2 linked regions of the Tribolium castaneum genome follow. The protein of the gene in region 1 purifies or fractionates together with the protein of each later gene. This does not show direct contact. Links are inferred from orthologs where the notes say so. Each region holds a gene or a part of one and is shown in the gene's direction. Other genes may lie near its edges. The genes, in order: runt-related transcription factor 3 and HDAC3.

Evidence for each region.
Region 2: the proteins of runt-related transcription factor 3 (region 1) and HDAC3 purify together in Homo sapiens (affinity purification with western blotting; 3 studies listed by BioGRID). This does not show direct contact. The link is inferred for Tribolium castaneum from reciprocal best matches to the Homo sapiens genes RUNX1 and HDAC3.

Annotation. Positions count from the first base shown.
Region 1 is NC_087399.1:3,616,727-3,619,576, reverse strand, and holds part of runt-related transcription factor 3, read left to right. Parts: intron 1-313; coding exon 314-487; intron 488-2,320; coding exon 2,321-2,850.
Region 2 is NC_087401.1:11,246,667-11,250,959, reverse strand, and holds the start of HDAC3 (histone deacetylase 3), read left to right. Parts: upstream 1-1,391; 5' UTR 1,392-1,553; coding exon 1,554-1,758; intron 1,759-1,806; coding exon 1,807-2,683; intron 2,684-4,293. Other genes in the region: flap endonuclease GEN, read right to left, coding at 486-639, 684-963, 1,009-1,166. UniProt on the Homo sapiens protein: Histone deacetylase that catalyzes the deacetylation of lysine residues on the N-terminal part of the core histones (H2A, H2B, H3 and H4), and some other non-histone substrates.

The DNA of each region.
Region 1 (2,850 bases):
GCGAAAGGGTTGATTCCAAGACGCCTCATTGGTCGGGCGGGGCTGCCTCAGACCTCATTGGTGCGCCACAGGACTGCTGCTAACCTTTAGTATCAAGATCTATACCGAGATCCTGGTCGCTGCCTTCTCCCAGGATTCTAGTTTGCAACTTATTGTTTGCAGGAAATATGAGATTATGAGGGTTATTATTGAATACGCGCACCAGGAGACTTTGCCAACTTAAGAGGATAATGACGTTTTTGCCGACACCACCATTTGTCTTAATTAATCAATTTGAGTTCGGGAGAAGGCGCAATGATGGCTTTTTTTGCAGGCATTGCTCATCATCTGGCGGGACTTCCGGGGCCCCCGCCCGAGTGGGCCATGCTAGGGGGGCGACATCCGTACCCCCCAGGACCCTTCGTTCCTCACCACCACCCGCACTTTCCTCCCCATATGTTTGCAGCGCTCGACCGTCCAATTAACACCTCACCGAGAATAGCAAACGGTAAGTACTTCATTTTTTTATTTCAAATGACACTCGCAATAAAATTCTACGTATTAGAAATGATGGTAATATAGTAATGCATTTTTTTACACTAAAATAAAAATATAGTAACTGTGAACTTGATTTAAAAGTTGATTTGTGATTTGGCTATTGTAAAATTTTTAGATATAAATTAAATATTTTCGTTTAATTTTTTTATAATTTAAGAAATGAGTTATCTAAGAATTCAACGCTTCCGTTTAAAGTTATGAATCGCCATTACGTTCATTTCTTTTTTTCTCAAAACAAAAGGTATTTTCTCTTTATTAGAATGTGCTCTTACGTTTACAATTTGGCGCCTTTTACCTTTTGCCACATTATTTTATGCTCCGCTTACGTTTATATGTCTTTGTGTTCTCTCAATCTCTTATTTTTGCTTACTTGTTGTTTCACTTACCTTTTCTACACTTATTTTTTATAGAAAAATTGTTACTCTGATCCGGGTTCGTACCCGCGACCTCCACCGTCGTAAGTGGCGCTTATACCACTGGGCCACCAGGGCCCTAGGTACTGACCGTCTTTTGCAGATATTTTAACACAAACTTTTTAAATAAATCAACATTACAAACTATATATTTGCAATAATTTACCTAAAACGCAAGTACATTCAGTTCAAAAGTCGGCGAATTAGCTCGAGAAAACATTTTCTTCCACTTTTTTTCAATTTAATTTTCTAATTTTTCACCAGATTTCATTAAAAGATACCGGGCGTATAAGTTGATTCTACAATTTAAAATTGTTTTTATCTTTTTTTGTGACTTTCAGCACGTTTTTGACCGAAAATGAACATAATTTCTCGAGAAATCACTAAATTTGTGTATTTTCTAGTCAAAAATAGTGGACGTGCGCAAATCCTACCGGATTCGCAGTGGCCATGATTTTTACTGACAATGTTTTTCGGAACTTTACTAAACAAACTCAGTTAACTAAAAATTTTTAGATATAAATTAAATATTTTCGTATATTTTTTTATAATTTAAGAAGTGGGTCATCTAAGGATTCAACGCAAAAGTTTGAAGTTATGTTTCACCTTTACGTTCATTTGTTTTCTCGCAAAACAAAAAGTATTTTCCTTTTATTGAGATGTGTTCTTACGTTTACAATTTAGCGCCTTTACGTACTTTTACCTTTTGCCGCATTATTTTCTTATTTCTGTCAGTTTTATGCTCCGCTTTACGTTTATACGTCTATGTGTTCTCTCAGTCTCTTATTTTTGTTTATGTGTTGTTTTACTTACCTTTTCTTTACTTTTTTTTATAGAAAAATTGTTACCCTGCTCCGGGTTCGTACCCCCGACCTCCCCCGTCGTAAGTGGCGCTTATACCACTGAGCCACCAAGCCCCAGGAACTGACCGTGTTTTGCAGATATTTTAACACAAACTTTTTAAATAAATCAACATTACAAACTATATAATTGCAATAATTCACCTAAAACGCAAATACATTCAGTTCAAAAGTCGGCGAATTAGCTCGAGAAAACATTTTCTTCCACTTTTTTTCAATTTAATTTTCTAATTTTTCACCAGATTTCATTAAAAGATACCGGACGTATAAGTTGATTCTACAATTTAAAATTGTTTTTACCTTTTTTGTGACTTTCAGCACGTTTTTGACCGAAAATGCACATAATTTCTCCAAAAATCACCAAATTTGTGTATTTTCTAGTCAAAAATAGTGGACGTGCGCAAATCCTACTATTCGCAGTGGCCATGATTTTTATTAACAATGTTTTTTGAGACTTATTTTTGTTTCACAATGCGAGTAAAGTTTTCATAATCAACTTGTTTTTTCCAGAGCCCAGCTCGACCTCCCTGGGCCCCATCTCCATCAACTGCACCCCGGCCCACAGCACCACCTCCCCCAAGACCTCCCCCACGCAAGTGGGCCTTCTCACAACCGCAGGCGCCCCGCTTTCGCCACCTGAAGATGACATATCCGTAACAGCATCGCCGACTCCGTCCCCGCAGCCGCCACCGGCATTTCCCGGGGCGCCTCCGCCCCCAATCCAAAACAATCAATTGTTCAATAACGCACTAGCCGCCAGCCTGTTCCTCAACGCTCCTTTACTTCCGCCCCCCGGCCAGTGGTTCTACTCGCAGTTTTACCCGCACGACTGGGCCTGGATGAACCTGCGACACCACTCCCTGCTGCCGAGGAGCTCGTCGCCTCTCGAACTAGGTCACAATCCCAACGGATCGACCAAGTCGGAAGGGGTGGATGACGAGGTCAAGTCCGACGACGGCAAGGCGAAGGAAGAGAAAAAGGGCAAGGACGAAGGGGTGAACCTGTCGCTGCATAGGTGCAGGAAGGCGGCGATCACGCTC
Region 2 (4,293 bases), on another chromosome or scaffold:
ATTACTTTTTCCCTCTTCTTGAGGAGGCAATTTTTTTTCCTCCTCAAATTGTCCTATTGCCCTAGTGTTGTTTTTCCAGTTGTTAATTTTCTACTAATTACTTACTACGAAAGTTTATACAAAATAAATTGTTCATCCATACTTTCGACGATCTTTAAGAAATTTATTTCTTAGCTCTCTTAGCTATGAAATGTAAAGAGTTATAGGCTGTAGCAGATTTTTTGAGAATATCCCTATTAAAGTGGGTAATTTATAAATTAGCAACAGTGAAAAATTAGCCAATTATTTTGATAAATATTTTTCTGATGTACCAAAAAAATTGTAAGTGTAATTAAAGTAATCTTTCTGGTAGGTTCCCAGATATTTTAAAAATTGTCGAAATAATTCCTGTATTGTATATTTGGATAATAAATTGATGGATTGATCAGAAAAAAATAATAATAAAATAAAAAAATCAAACAATCATTCGCAATTCGGGGACTCACTCAGTCGCTCATTGGCCACACTGATGTCATAAACGTCCACAGAGCCCCCTTTGGCCGCCTGATTGCCCTGCTGCGAGATGGAAAAATTGCGATAAACGACACGTGCCCCATACGCGAAACAATCCGAATCCTGACTAATAATCCCATCGACGAGCTAAAACAACCCCTTGAACCTTAGAAAAAAAAATATGTTTTTACCCCAGTTTCATTCAATTGTGCGCACAAAGCCTCGGCCTCGCCCTCCCCAGTCACACACGCAAGCCCCAACAAACTCAACATCTCCTCGCACCGTTTCAACGTGTGATTAAACCTCGACCTGTCCTTGGTCTTGGCCCCATTTTTGGGCTTCGCCCCTTTGAACTGCAGGGCATTGCGGGCGGCGATCGTCTTGTATTTGAGCTCGGGGGCGCGCCCCTCGAGCACAAACACCACATTTACGTCCATTAGGAGCAAGTAACAAGTGCGGAAATACAAATTTCTGGAAAAAAAAATCAAAATTTTGAACCGGTGTCAGTCACCTAACCTCAAGTACATGCGGGGTTGCACCGTGTATTCGGTCACGTTTTGCGACTCGCACACCCAGCACGACAAGTCGATGGCCACGGTCTTGCCCTGCAGCTCGTAGAGGGGCTTACGCTCCCCGAAAGGGGCCAGAAGCGTCCACAGGTCTTTGATGCCCATTTTCAAACTTGGGGATTTTGGTTTTGGAGTTGGTGACAAAGTCTCGACGAAAATCGGGGGATAAAACGCTTAAAACAGACTCAAATGGGCAAATTTCGTCTTTATTCTCAAAAACAACATTGCGTCCAGAGTTTTATTTGTGAAATATGTTCTGTAATTAATGATAATAATCTTTACGACAACACCATTTCTTAATGGGTGTTTTTGCGTCGTTCGGTTGGTAGTGAGGCGCAGAAACGTCACGTTTGTTTGGGGGCTGTTTTATCAGAAACCACAATGGGGGCTATCCGGAAGCATGCCGGAGGATAGGTTTTGGCTGACGAAACGCCTTGTTGTTATAGTTTTGTTTTTGTATTTTTTGTACGTGTGGAAGGAGCTATCGGCGTGATGTCGAAGCACCGAGTGTCTTACTTCTTCAACCCTGACGTGGGGAACTTCCACTACGGGACGGGGCACCCCATGAAGCCCCACCGCCTGTCTGTGATCCACAGCTTAGTGTTAAATTACGGGCTGCACAAGCACATGCAGATTTACCGGCCTTACAAGGCCAGCGCCCACGACATGTGTCGCTTCCACTCGGACGAATACATCGGTAAAGCCACCACGGTAATTTCACTTGCCTTAACCCCCACACTTGTAGATTTTCTGCAAAAAGTCACGCCGCAGAACATCCAAGCGTTCACCAAGCATCTGAGTCACTATAACGTGGGGGACGATTGCCCGGTCTTCTGGGGGCTGTTTGACTTCTGCTCCATGTACACGGGGGCGTCGCTCGAGGGGGCCATGAAACTGAACAATAACCACTGCGACATTGCTGTTAATTGGTCAGGGGGGCTCCACCACGCCAAGAAATTCGAAGCCAGTGGTTTCTGCTACGTTAACGATATTGTGATTGGGATTTTAGAATTGCTCAAGTACCACGCGAGGGTTTTATACATTGACATCGACGTGCATCACGGAGACGGCGTCCAGGAAGCCTTCTATCTCACTGATCGGGTCATGACGGTCAGTTTCCACAAATACGGCAATTATTTCTTCCCGGGCACGGGCGATATGTACGAAGTGGGGGCGGAAAGTGGCCGTTATTACTCCGTCAACGTGCCGCTGAAGGAAGGAATCGACGATTCCAGCTATTGGATGGTTTTTAAGCCGGTCATTTCAAGCGTGATGGAATTTTTCCAACCCACTGCAATTGTACTACAATGTGGGGCCGATTCCTTGGCCAACGACCGCCTGGGGTGTTTCTCCCTGAGTACCAAAGGGCACGGGGAGTGTGTTAAGTTCGTCAAGAGTCTGAATGTTCCAACTTTGGTGGTTGGAGGTGGCGGTTATACGCTGAGAAATGTCGCGAGGTGTTGGACTTACGAAACTTCGTTACTTGTGGATGAACAAATTTCAAATGAATTGCCCTACACCGAATATTTGGAGTTTTTCGCACCCGACTTTACCCTACATCCTGAGGTGGTCACAAGGCAGGAAAACGCAAACAGTCGCCAGTATTTGGAGGCCATTACTAAGTAATTTTTAAATTGATAAGTATAAGGGAAAAATGACGAACGTCATTCAAAGAAAAACAACTTTTTTTAGTTAATTAGTTTTAATTTTGACTATGGAGGGCTATAACTTGAGCTAAAAAAATAGTAAAAACTACATGACATTATTAGTTCAAATTCTTGAAAAGTAGTTATTTCCTGTTTTTCCCCTGTACTCTTCAATTGAAGGTTGAACAACTATACCAGTGGCGCAGCCAGAGATAGAGTTTATGGGGGTTTACCTTCGTAAAAATATGTTTTTCATTAGTAAACTAATAACGACGCAGAAATGAAAAATGAGCTCTTTACCTGCATATGATTATTTTAGTTCCTTGTAGCACTTAAAATTAACTAAAAATAAATATGTTGCTGAATGTTTTTTCGGAAATGTTGTTCGGGGCAAAAATAATGTAAAAAAAATTGTCTTAAATTCAAGGTTATTTGTTGTATAGCTCACATTTTGTAGCTACAAAAATTATTAAGAATTTCACACAAAAAGCTTTATCTGTCTGTTTCCTGCCTTATTTTATAGGTGGTAATTGTTTTAATATTTTTGTTTAAGTGTTTCTATTTTAATTATTTTCAAAAATATATGCAAAATAATCGGTAAATAATATTGGTATTTTTTGTTTTGTGTAGATAATATTATTTTTTTTTATTTTTTTATTATTACCAGAAAGATAAGGGAGTGTACCTACTATCAAAAACAGTAATCTGTTAAAAATGTCGGTTTTCATAAAAAATAACGTCATTACTCAAAAAGTTATTTCTACCATGGTATCAGAAATGTAGCATTTATTTTACAAAAAACCTCTCCGAAGATTTTTCTGAAATATAACGAAAATATGGATTTTGTGGGTTGCTTTTCTCGGAATTTTCGGAAGTAGAAAAAATCGAATGTCTACAATGATTGTCTGGAAAGTTTTGTTTTATTACTGCAACTTAAATTATTTTGCATGATTATGTTCTCAACCCCCAACAATCTCCCTTGCTGCGCCACTGAACTATATTAAGGAGGTCTGAAGTGGAACTGAACGCAAAATTTGAAATTGAATTTTTATGAAAAGTATTGCACAAAATAGTTTCATTACAACTGGGTGTTGTTCTAACGTTGAATCATTCCCGAGTTTAAAACGGTTAGAAACGTGATTTGTTTATTTTTCTATAAAAAAATTAAGTTCAAATAATAATAATAATTTATGAAAAAAAAAACATGGCTTAAAATTAATTTTTTTAAAGTAGAAGTTATTTTTAGAACATAATCTTTTACCAAAAAAATCGCCATAGGAGGAAGCCATTTGAAAAAAAAATTAATAACACGTAGACTAAAAGAAATTTCAAAAAATTTTATTCTTAAAAAATTATCACATTTTTAAAGTAGTCGATGACTTAATAATTAGTTTTTTCGTAAGGTACATAGTTTAAGCATAAAATGCTTGGTTCCATACTTTTGCCCAACGTTGTATATGAATTTGAAAAAAAAACTTCTATGTCATTAAAAAATAAAATGAAAAAGCCCATTTTTTGGTCATTTTTTTTTTATTAAAAAATGGTACATAATTTTTTGATAAATTTTATTAGGAGTGTTGTACATG